Linked DNA regions of Sus scrofa. The protein of the gene in region 1 interacts with the protein of each later gene in a pairwise test. Links are inferred from orthologs where the notes say so. Each region holds a gene or a part of one and is shown on either strand. Other genes may lie near its edges.

Region 1 (3,658 bases):
ATTCTGCCTGAAGTTAGACTAAAAATCAAAGTCTCCTCTCCTAGAAAGGTTAAGAACAGGGGCAGACAAAATCTGGAGGAGCAAAAAGAAAGAGCAGGGGTCTGTGTGGAGTGGGAGGGCTCGGTTACAAGACAGAAAAGGGGTGGGAACACCACATATAGAGTGAAAAAAGAAGGGCAAAAATCTGAGCCCTAGAGCTGTTAATAGTCCCACCTTGGAAAGATGTCTCTATGAGCGTGTCTTAATAGGGAGGAATTTTGGGGTCATAGTCTTAGACTCTACTGGTGGGAGGAAAAGTAGAGGGAAGGACTCATTCAGCTTCTTTTTTTTTTTTTTTTTGTCTTTTTGCCATTTCTAGGGCCGCTCCCGCGGCATATGGAGGTTCCCAGGCTAGGGGTCGAATCGGAACTGTAGCCTCCGGCCTACGCCAGAACCACAGCAACATGGGATCCGAGCTGCGTCTGCAACCTACACCACAGCTCACGGCAACACCGGATCCTTAACCCACTGAGCAAGGGCAGGGACCGAACTCACAACCTCATGGTTCCTAGTCGGATTCGTTAACCACTGCGCCACGACGGGAACTCCTCATTCAGCTTCTGGTGGCTGCTCAGTTAAGAAAAAATAAGGTGAAATGGGATGGAAACAGGCTGGCTGGCTCTGATACATTTGCATCATATTCTAAGTGTCCATCCCAGTCACATGGACCAGCGTGCCGGCACACAGAGCTCTGCAAATGTCTGTAGGTAGCAGAGTTAGGAAATTCCTACGGTTGGCTTTGATTTCAGCCATTTTCAAAGCACACAGGAGAAGCAACCACCCTTCATGGTGGGAACCTCCCCAGCATGAGGGGAGTGGTGATGAGCCCCGAGGTGCCCGGTTCAGTTTGAAAGTTTTAAGAAAAGGATGCCTTAGAGTATGTGTGCACAGGCTCAGTGCACGAAAGATCCTAAGATTCTCTGTTTCACATGTCTTTGTTACAAGGGATTTACATATTTGAACCTTGAAATTCAAATTTTTTAATGTATTATTTCTATGGAGATTCGGATGCAGTATGAGTTTATTATATTGAATGTAAGTTTCTTAGGTTAAGCAGTTGCTCAAAAACAGGTTTAAGGAGTTTGCTTGTGGTGCAGCGGATTAAGGATCTGGTGTTATCACTGCAGTGGCACAGGTTGTTGCTATGACACGGGTTCAATCCCTGGCCCAGGACCTTCCATGTGCTGCGAGCATGTTCAAAAAAAAAAAAAAAAGTTTTAAAAAATAAGTTTCTTAGGGCATGTTTTAGAAAAGAGATACATAGTTTTAGAAATGGGCTGTTACTTTGATAGTCATTTAATAAAAGAAAATTATAGTTATATTTGAAAAATGAAATGTTCTATAAATAGCCCATTCACAGAATTTCTGAAGCTTTATCAACATTTAATCTTCAGGCATAAATACGAATTTCTACACAACAAGACGACTCCAGACATAAGAATAACGGTTTCCCCAAAGAAGATTGGCATCCTATTAGACTATGAAAATTCAAAACTGTCATTTTTCAACGTGGGCCTTTCTCAGCATCTGTACACATTCAGTTGTCAGCTTCACCAATTCGTGCATCCCTGTTTTTCTCTGGAAAAGCCTGGATGTCTAAAGATACACAATGGCATTTCAATGCCAAAGCATGTCACTTTCTATTAGACCACATTCTGATGCCGAGCATCCTCTCTTCGGTACCTACTCCTCTCCCAGCCACTCACGCCTCAGCTGGCTGAATTGGGCATCCAAGCCCCGTGCACTAGCATCATTTATGGCTCATGTCATTATCTGGCGGACTGGTGTGCTGACATTCACCGCACCTGACCTGGGTCTTGTGCGCTGCCACTTGTGTGATGCTAGATTAGTCAGTTCCAGGCCCTAATGTAAAATGAAGGCTCAGACTTTCAGGTGGTCAAACTGTATTGGTCTATTTGTGTACATGCAAAGTACCTGAGTCTCCAAGGCCTGTGGAGCTTGGGAGAGGAGGAAAGAGAGACGGAAGAGTTAGTGGTTTTAGTCCACTGGTGACATTTCATTAGTCAGCCAAGAACAGACCTGAGACCGCAAGAGGCCACCCACAAAGAGAACCAGGGAAGCCACGTGGCCTTGCCTTCTCCTGTTTTGCTAGTGTTAGTGGCACTCCAGTGAGGTTTCTCCCACTGAACACTGAACACTCTTTCTAACAACTGTTCTTCCCCTTCATAGTACTCACCCCTCTAATTTTGAAATGATCTTTGTAATGCCTAATTCCATGAAGGCAGGACAGTGTCTGTCTTGTTCGTCACTCAACCACCAATGGCTAACACGTGCACACCAAATATTTGTTGAATAAAAGAGCATCTTCTTCAAAAAGCACAGTTCTTCGGCCTCTCATTGCTCTCCATGTGAGGAATGGCAGGGCTTACTCAAACTATAGCAAAAGACTTACCACCAAGAGATGGAAAAACCTGGAGAGGAGGGAGTATAAAGGAAGAGACGGGCACCTGTGGCTTGATGGCAAGATTGGGAAAAAAACTGCAACACTACGCACTACATGCTTCCTAGTGTCACACAGCAGCTCATACATAAATAATAATAAATGAGTGCTGCTTTCATTATGTGTGTGTTGGGGCAGGGGGTGGAGGGATAGGTCTGGAAAAAAATAGAAAACATTAGTTTCGACTGATTCTAGGTACTGTTTTATAATGTACAGAGAACCAGATTTGCAATCAGAAGACTTGAGTTTGCTACTTTGCAGCTACTTTGCCTTATGACCCTAGAAAAATCACATTATCTCCCTTGGCTTCTGGTTCCCTTTAAACAATAGAAAAATACTTGTCTTAACAGGATGGGAAATTTAATGACAAACACGAGACTGCGTGACATATAGCAAATGCATAACAATCTTTTAAGAGAAAACATCAGCCCACCAAGTGCAGAGCTGAGTCCTGGCGGGAGAGGTGGTCTCCAGCCCATGGCTTTTGGGCATCCTGCCTCACTCCTCTTGTGCCAATTTGTGACCTCACTGCCCAGCCCAACAGCTACCTTTCTGGTACTGGGTTCAAGTTTCCGGTTGCCACTTACAGTTCTGCACACACAGCATTTTCAAGCTTATGGGTCAAGATGCAGAGGAAGTGACTCCAATTATGAAGCAATTCTCAGATAATTTAGTGTCATGCCCCACGGATGTGTCTCTAAACATATGTGCCCCTGATCTCATCACTTGAGATTCTGTGTTATCAGAGAAACTTCACTCGAAACCTTTCAGTTTCCTAGTACATTCGAGTCTGACACAACAAACACCTTATCTCCTACCCAAAACAGCCTGCTGGTATACACAGAAGTTCAGAGTCTTGAATTCACAACTCAACCTGACAGTCTTGAAGCTCATTGCACACACATACACCCCTCTGCCCTCCCAACATGGATCACTACCCTGAAATAAGGAAGGTACAACCAATGTAACACAGAGATGGTTCAAATTACAAACGATTAAAATATATGTATGTATATATTTTAAAATGTTCTCAGCTACTTAAAAAGAAAACTACCAAGTAGGAAGTAGGACATCACAGATAAGGCAAGGCAAGGTGAATGAATTCAGGGTTCTAATAGGCTTTACTTCACATGTAATATAACATGGATAAATAAAATG
Region 2 (4,572 bases), on another chromosome or scaffold:
GGAGGTTCCCAGGCTAGGGGTCGAATCGGAGCTGCAGCCACCGGCCTACGCCACAGCCACAGCAACGCTGGATCCTTAACCCACGGCGCAAGGCCAGGGATAGAACCCGCACCCTCATGGTTCCTAGCGGGATTCCTTAACCACTGCGCCACGATGGGAACGCCCGGAACTTATTTGTTTTTAAATGGTCCCAAGACTTGGGCAGACGCCGCCCCCCGGCCCCGCAGGCCCCGGCTCCTCCCGCGGGGCGGAGGGCGGAGGGCGGAGGCGGCGCGGCGGGACCACCCTCCCAGCGCCCGCAGCAGGCGCCCCCTACCGTTCAGGTAGTAGCTCCTCCGGGTCCTGTCCCCCGAGGGCAGGCTGCACTCCGAGAAGCACACCTTCTTGGGCCGGCCCACCTCCCTGGGCTCCAGCAGGGTCTTGTCCGCCAGCGGGTCGTGCAGGGGGCTCAGCAGCGGGGACGGCTTCCCGTCGGAGGCGCGGGGCGCGCGCAGCTCGGGGGCGCTGAGGAAGGCCTTGAAGGGCGCCTGGGCGGCGGCGGCGGCGCAGCCCGGGGAGGCGTCGTCCTCGCCGGAGAGCGGGCCGTGCGAGCACAGCAGGTCCTCCAGGGAGGAGGCCTGCAGCTGCGAGGGCGCCTCCGGGACGCCGGGGAACCGTCCGAAGTCCGGCCCTGCGACAGGGAGGAAAGGGGGTCAGGCTGACGCGCCTCCAACACCCGGGAGCTGGGGGGCCTCCTGCTCGCGCCGCGACGACGGAGGCGGGCGAGGCGGCCGCGGGCGGCGCGGCCCCAGGCAGCCGCCCCCCGCCGGCGCCCGCACACGCCCCGCAGCCCGCGGCGGCCTTCGCGCGCCGCCCAAGCTCTGCTGCGGCTCATCCGACCTCCGCCTGACTCGGAAACAGACCTTTTCGCTGCAGCGTGATCGCGTTTCGAGATTTCTCCACGGCGAGTGAGTCCTTTGGTCGCTCGCTGGTTCACGCAACCGCTGCCTGGCACACGTGTGTGCGCGCGCGCGCGCGCACACACACACACACACAGACCTTTCTACCCACCACCCACGGCTGCGCGTGGGGCTGCCTCCAGGTTGCCCTGCAAACGCCAAGCCGTGAGCCGCAGCCCTCCGACGCCTTCTTGCGCCGCGCAAGTACCCTCCGCGTCTACACCCGGACTCGGGCGCGGGCTGTTGAACTGTCTCGGCTTTCTCCACGACCACCAGCCGTTCAGCAACGCTTGGTGTGGGCAGACCAGCTGAGGACACGCACGGCTTTCCCCTAAACCCCGTGAAGCTGAACACCTTTCCCACGCTGGCCTCTGGGGTCTGCTTTCTGTGCGGCGCTGTCCTTTGCTTATTTTCTCGGTTGACTAGTCTTTGGAAGGGACAGGCATCAGTTGCTTTGGTAGCCTACATGTTAATTTCTCGTTAAAACGTGTTGTCCTCTCCCAGTGGGTTCCTTGCTTATATTTTAACCTTTTTATGGCAACTCTTGTCAGGCAGAATTTTAAAAAATTTTAATATAATTCGGAGTTCCGGTCGTGGCGCAGTGGTTAACGTATCCCACTAGGAACCATGAGGTTGCGGGTTCGATCCCTGGCCTTGCTCAGTGGGTTAACGATCCGGCGTTGCCGTGAGCTGTGGTGTAGGTCGCAGACGCGGCTCGGATCCCGCGTTGCTGTGGCTCTGGCGTAGGCCGGTGGCTACAGCTCCAACTCGACCCCTAGCCTGGGAACCTCCATATGCCATTTGAGTGGCCCTAGAAAAGACAAAAAAAAAATTAATGTAATTTAATTAAATTGTAATATAATTTAATAAATTATTAAAATAAAAACTTTAACTTATCAATTCTTTTGTGATTTATGAAGTCCTTTCTTTTCTTTTTCCTTTTTTTTTCCTTTTTATGGCTGAGACCGCGGCATATGGAAGTTCCCTGAGCCAGGGGTCGAGCTGAAGCTGCCAGCCTACACAGCAAATCCAGATCTGAGCCAGGTCTGTGGCCTACGCCACAACTCGTGGCCATGCCTGCTCCTTAACCCACTGAGCGAGGCCGGGGGATCAGACCCGCATCCTCATGGACACTAGTTGGGTTGGTTACCACTGAGCCACAGCGGGAACTCCGAGAATGAACTCTTAAAGAAAGCAAAAGTTCGAAAATCATAAAAATAACAGCAGAGATAAACTTGAAACAGCTCTACGGCAAGTCCAATAAAATAGGAAAACTGTGGAAAGCTACCTCAGAGACATAGAAAACATAAAGGAATACAATCGGAAATGAGAAAAGTGTTATCAGAATGACTAGGAAGATAATATTTAAATTATAGAAATATTATATACAGTTGAATATATATACTTGTTTTGTTTTTTGCTTTTTAGGGCCACACCTGCGGCATATGGAGGTTCCCAGGCTAGGGGTCCAATCAGAGCCACAGCTGCCAGCCTACAGCCACAGCAACATCAGATCCGAGCCGTGTCTGTGGCCTACACCACAGTCACAGCAACGCCAGATCCTTAACCCACTGAGTGCGGCCAGGGATGGAACCCGCAACCTCATGGTTCGTAGTTAGATTCATTTCCACTGCGCCACGACAGGAACTCCTACAATTGAATATTAATTGAAAACGTTAATAAAAGGAGAGATTGGAAATTATTTTTAAATGACTCAATAAGAAGTAGAAAAACTAAATGGACCAATGAACAAACAAGAAAAACCCAGAAGTCATAGAATAATTCTGCTCCAAAGGACTGTAGACGTGGGTTGTGAGCAGGTAAGATCTTTCAAGTTCCCAAACAATTCATAATTCCTACGTCAGCTAATGAGGCTGGAACACTGCAAAAATTAGGACGCCTGAGTATTAAGCTTATAAATTTGTCACAACTCTGATATGAAGTCCCTTTAAATACACCCCACAGAGAGGAAACTGGAGCCCAGATTCGTGTAGGAAGACAGTCCAGGGATCCTGAGCAAAGCCCCATCCAGACGCCACAACAGACACCGCTCAAGCCCCAGACCTGTGGCATCTTGCACCCTAGTAAGACCCCACGGATGAGCTGTGGGGAGCAGTGGAGGGCACTTCCACCAGTGCCGAAATGAGGTCATAAATATTGAACAAATGGGCCGTTTTTCAATTGTTTGGTTCTTTAAAACTAAGGACTGAAAAGAGACTTCCCCAGCATCCGGCCTGCATATGCCCCCATCCTGGACAGACAGGGCCGGCCCTGTTCACCGCCTACAGGAAGTGCCCAGGCCAGGATCAAACCCGTGCCACAGGATCCACCCGAGCCACTGCAGTGACAATGCCATATCCTTAACTCACTGAGCCACCAGGGAACGCCTGAGGAATAAAGACAAAGACAGAAGCAACAAGTATATGAGCTGCCAATCTCCTTTAAAATGATCGTTTGTAAACAGAGCAACTACAGACCTAGAACAGAGAACGAACTGGAAAACTTGGCAGAAGAAAACAGCTGGCTATAGGATAAATAATTACAAATCAACAGCTTTCCAAAGTATTGCAACACCGATAACTGAAAACACAGTGGCAAAGAAACCCCATCTCTACTCACAAGTCACCGAGGGTGCTCCAGGGACAAGCACACAATGCGAAAGATTTATTTGTGAGAAACAGCTGAGGAGATGTGAAGAAACCACGCCAAAATAGCTTAATACGACTTAATACAAATGCAGTAGACAAGTCATGCTCTGGGTAAATGTAAGAAAAAGAAACGTGAAAAAATTAGCCTCCCGTCTGAGCCAGTGATCCTGCTTTTAGGAAAACATACTCTAAGGAAATAACCCTAAATCCGAAGTTTGCTTCTCTTTTTTTGGCCAAGCCCATGGCCTGTGACCAAACCTGCACCAGAGCAGCGACCTGAGCCCCTGATGCAGGGACAACGCTGCATCCTTCACCACTGCACCACAGGGGAGCTCCTAGAGGGCTCTTGCTGGGCCATTTACCTCAGGGTAAGAAGGCAGAGCGGCAACTTCAAACATAAGGTGACAGTTCATTGAGCGGCGGTCCAATTCAAAGGCTCGGGGATACCACGCATTTAAAACGTAACGACGCAGTGACAATTCTACCCCACGTTCAGGCCCAGCGGCACGGAGACCACTCGAAACTCTTTCCAGTCGTCTGATGTCCACCCAGACGAGAGGGACAAGAGAACAGGGAAGGCTCTGGGGCGCCAGGGGGTCGGGGACCACGATGGTCCGGGAAGGCGGGGCCGGGTTGGCCGGCGGACCGCTCCCTCGGTCCGTTGAACCCCCGGAGAAGCAGCGCTGTCGGTGACTCCGCGCAGTGGGAAAGCGCGGGGTGCAGCAGAGGGTCCCCCTTCCGCCTCAGCTCTCCAGCCGCACAAGACCCCAGGGATCCCCGACAGCGACCATTCAGCAGGTGGCAAAGCTGGAAGGGGACCCCTGTGGGCCGAAGGGGGTGTGGGGAACCCCACAGGGAGCAGGGACACCCCAGAAGAGGCCCAAAGGCACGGCAGCCAGCTGGACGGTGGAGAAACGGAAGCGCAGCACAGCCCCACCCCGTTGGGTAACCAGAGGGACCCCTGGACACACGTGCACAGCCGCAGA
Region 3 (4,572 bases), on another chromosome or scaffold:
TAGCCCATTTCTGCACAAGAGTAAAATCAGTCTCAGGAAAAAGAGCCATTAAAAAATTTTCATTTGGAAGCATCTGCTCCTGTGCTTGAAATAGTAATCTTGCTGTTGGAAATATACTCATAAATGTACATTATATACACATTATCTATTTTTAAAAGCTTTTAAGTCTAGAATTTAAAATCCAAATCTGAGAGATGCTGGATTTTGAAACAGATAAAACAAAATGAAAAGCCAAGCCTTATGGTTCTTATAATACAATTAAGCACATGTTAATAAGAGGTAAGTTTAAATATGGGATATTTTGGGGATGTTAATTTAGGAAAATAAACATAAATTAATCATTAGTAGAAAAAAAATGTAGCCTCAGAATATCTGCCACGATTCAATACAATTAAAAAACCATTCTTAATTGTTTTTGTTATATGTATGCACTTTTGCTAATTATTTCTCACTCTGGATCCTTGAGTAAGTTAGGAATATGATGTCTGTAGTGTGTAGCTACTGAACAAATTTGAAAACTTAAGAATGAGGAGTTCCCATCATGGCTCAGTGGTTAACGAACCTGACTAGGATCAATGAGAATTAGGGTTCCATCCCTGGCCTCACTCAGTGGGTTAAGGATCCAGCATTGCTGTGAGGTGTGGTGTAGGTTGCAGACTCAACTTGGATCCCAAGTTGCTGTGGCTGTGGTGTAGGTTGGCAGCTGTAGCTCCGATTTGACCCCTTGCCTGGGACCTCCATATGCCATGGGTATGCCCTAAAAAGAAACAACTATGGAAACTTAAGAATGAGTATTAAAGAACAAAATAATGCCATTTGCAGCAACATGGATGGAACTAGAGACTCTCATACTAAGTAAGTCAGAAAGAGAAAGATAAATACCATATGATACCACTTATATCTGGAGTCTAATATGCAGCACAAATAAACCTTTCTACAGAAAAGAAACTCATGGACTTGGAGAACAGGCTTGTGGTTGCCGAGGGGGAGGGAGTGGGATAGACCGGGAATTTGGGGTTAACAGATGCAAACTATTGCCTTTGGATAAGCAATGAGATCCTGCTGTATAGCACTGGGAATTATATCTAGTCACTTATGATGGAACGTGATGGAGGATAATGTGAGAAAAACAATGTACATATGTATGTGTGCCTGGGTCACTTTGCTGTACAGTAGAAAATTGACAGGACAATGTAAACCAACTATAATGGAAAAAATAAAAATCATTACAAAAAAAAAAAAAGAACGAGTATTAAGACAGTCATCCAGGAGTTCCCGTCGTGGCGCAGTGGTTAACGAATCCGACTAGGAACCATGAGGTTGCGGGTTTGGTCCCTGCCCTTGCTCAGTGGGTTAACGATCTGGCGTTGCCGTGAGCTGTGGTGTAGGTTGCAGACTCGGCTCGGATCCCACGTTGCTGTGGCTCTGGCGTAGGCCGGTGGCTGCAGCTCCGATTCAACCCCTAGCCTGGGAACCTCCATATGCCGCTGGAGCGGCCCAAGAAATAGCAATAATATCAACAACAACAAAAAAAAAAAAAAAAAAAAAAAGACAGTCATCCAGTACCTACCTTCCATTTACTTTCATCTGTTCCCAAATATCCACTAAAGGCTTTTTTGCCCCAAGGACAGAGCACTGGGTTGCAAATTGGAGCAAATGCTGACACAGACTTTAGAGACAAAAATAAATTTAAAAACAAGTTATATTTTGCTAAATCAAATATGAACAGATATCTGCAACTCGCTTAAAAACTCGGACTTGCTGAGAAAATCCCTATGAACAGTTTTCCTTTTGCTGTATTACAGGCTTAGATTGAACGCCTCTCCAGATACCACATCCTTTGTGTGTTCTATTAAGAGGGCTAATAAAATCTAAGTGCTAAAATAATGTAAAGCAATGCATGACATTTTCATTATAAAGGCACAAAAGGAAGTTTATGAGTTTCTACTCATTTTTCCACTGAAAAAGTTAACTTTACAAAAATATTCTTGATAAAAATATAAGTAAATGATAACATACTGCCAAAATAATGTTAATCAAGGATAACTTCTAGGAAAAAAAATCTAGAAAACTATAGTTTGAATAGAAGCAATGACAACTGCTTTCTAATACCACTAGCAAACCAACGAGAAACGTCTGGGATACAAGTTCCATACTTCTGATTTTGCAGCATATACTGTGTGGTCAGATTTAATACTCTTCCCCCACAACCCCTTGAAATTCCCAACACCAGAAAAGTTAATCTCAAAACGAAAACAACAGTATCTTAATTTCAATCTTTGAAAGTTCCTAATAGTATATTATGCAAGAGAAACATCTGTCATTAGAAGTTTAGGTCATCTTACTTTGTATTTTCCAGGATTCTTCAAAGTACAAATCAGAGCTCCATGGCCTCCCATGGAGTGGCCGAAAATAGACATCCTTTGGGGGTCTACTGGAAAATTGGCATTTATGAGTTGGGGAAGCTAGAGAGAATAGTTGGACAAAAGATAGGAGAGAAATAAGTTCAGACTTTTTCAAAGTTACATACAATAATCAATACTTCGAAAATCACAGTCTTAGAGTTGTTTACACTTGCAAAGATTTTAAAAAATGTCAGATAGGGAGTTCCCGTCATGGCTCAGCAGTGACGAACTGGACTAGTATCTGTGGGGACACAGGTTCGATCCCTGGCCTCGGTCAGTGGGTTGAGGATCTGGTGCTGCCATGAGCTGTGGTGAAGGTCTCAGACAAGGCTCGGATTTGGCATTGCTGTGGCTGTGGTGTAGGCTGGCAGCTCCAGCTCTGATTCAACCCCTAGCCTGGGGGAACCTCCATATGCTGGGAACCTCCATATGCTGTGGGTGTGGCCCTAAAAAGACAAAAAAAAAAAAAGTCAGCCAATGATTATTAATATTACTACTGGAGACTATAGGGCACATCCAACTTGGAAAGCAACTTTAAGAAGATAATGTGGGAGGAGTTCCCGTCGTGGCGCAGTGGTTAACGAATCCGACTAGGAACCATGAGGTCGCGGGTTCGGTCCCTGCCCTTGCTCGGTGGGTTAACGATCCGGCGTTGCCGTGAGCTGTGGTGTAGGTTGCAGACGCGGCTCGGATCCCGCGTTGCTGTGGCTCTGGCGTAGGCTGGTGGCTACAGCTCCGATTCAACCCCTAGTCTGGGAACCTCCATATGCTGCTTGAGCGGCCCAAGAAATAGCAACAACAACAACAACAACAACAAAAAAAAAAACAAACAAACAAAAAAGAAGATAATGTGGAAAGAAACTTTAAAGTGTTCTAAATTTTGATCTAGTAATTTCACTTCCTGGAGTCTATTCTAAGGGAAAAGTCTTTATGGGGAAAAATTATATTCAAAGATAATCAAATGCAGTAACACATTTTATGGTAAATAATACATACATAAATATAGCCTCTGTTAGGAAAAAGTATTCATGTCGTATGACAGAATACTACCCAATTATTAAAATTATGTTACAAATAGAGAATATTAACAAACATTTATTTTACACAACTAAAAAGAACGAGATAAAAAAATGTTTTATAATTACATGAAAACTAGTCATAACAAAAAGCTTGAAATATACCAAAATGTAATTCTTGTTTGAAGTGACAGAATTACGGGTGATTCAAATTTTATATTATTGTTTCTGAGTTTTTATGAGGTGCACATTAACAGTTAAAGTCATATAAAATTTAGAAAATGCATAAACTGCACACAACTATTATTAATAGAAGCATTATCATTTATCCTGATTACGGTTAATCACTTTGAAATACATCTGAATGAACCTGCTGTCAAAGAAATGCAAAGTTTTATGGAACATGATGGAAGATAATGTGAGAAAAAGACTATATGTACGACTGGGTCACTTTGCTGTACAGCAGAAAATGACAGAACATTGTAAATCAGCTATAATAGAAAAAATAAAAAGAAATACAAAGCTTTTTCATGTACTATTTTCTCTGTATAATATGGGTAGTGTATACAGGCATCAAAATAATAATTCAACTCTTTAAACTTTGGAATTTTTACTAAGATAATAAACATATACCAAATAGATTCAATAATACCATATATTAATTTAAAATTCTTGGGACTAGAAGGACCTTGTGTCTAAAATCAAACTTTTAGCAATAGTTACAATACAAATGAAATTACCTCCTCCGTTACATAAGAGTACATTCTGTAGTTAGTTTTCCAAGGATCTTCAGTAGCATCCAGATAAAATCCGGCCCCAGTGCCAAAATCCCAGCTCTCATCTTCGCCTTTAATATTACAGCCACCTAGGAAAGAAGAAATCTTGTCGCTTCATTTACTTTGTAGTAATGGCCCATGTTTAACAACACACCTTAAAAGGAACCTGAAATTTCATGTGCCTTAAGGCTGTTCACCAAATATTATCGGCTCTCTGCCTGCTGGGGCGGGTACTTCCGGGCCCTCTGAGTCAGGCCATGTGACTCGTTCTGGCCAATGAGGCAGGGGAGGAAATGACCCTGCGGGCTGGGGTGTTCACCGACAAGGTAAAGCACTGGCTTTCTCGGTTGAGGAAGCTCCCTCCACTGCACTCTG

Evidence for each region.
Region 2: the proteins of FSD2 (region 1) and SPATC1L interact in binary tests that used the Homo sapiens proteins (3 or more experiments, as listed by UniProt). The two-hybrid records come from large-scale screens. The link is inferred for Sus scrofa from reciprocal best matches to the Homo sapiens genes FSD2 and SPATC1L.
Region 3: the proteins of FSD2 (region 1) and ESD interact in binary tests that used the Homo sapiens proteins (3 or more experiments, as listed by UniProt). The two-hybrid records come from large-scale screens. The link is inferred for Sus scrofa from reciprocal best matches to the Homo sapiens genes FSD2 and ESD.

The regions. Positions count from the first base shown.
Region 1 is NC_010449.5:52,191,764-52,195,421, forward strand, and holds the end of FSD2 (fibronectin type III and SPRY domain-containing protein 2), read left to right. Parts: intron 1-1,433; coding exon 1,434-1,686; 3' UTR 1,687-2,376; downstream 2,377-3,658.
Region 2 is NW_018085356.1:561,385-565,956, reverse strand, and holds part of SPATC1L (speriolin-like protein), read right to left. Parts: intron 671-4,572; coding exon 317-670; intron 1-316.
Region 3 is NC_010453.5:20,661,488-20,666,059, reverse strand, and holds part of ESD (S-formylglutathione hydrolase), read right to left. Parts: intron 4,287-4,572; coding exon 4,162-4,286; intron 2,466-4,161; coding exon 2,346-2,465; intron 1,670-2,345; coding exon 1,571-1,669; intron 1-1,570.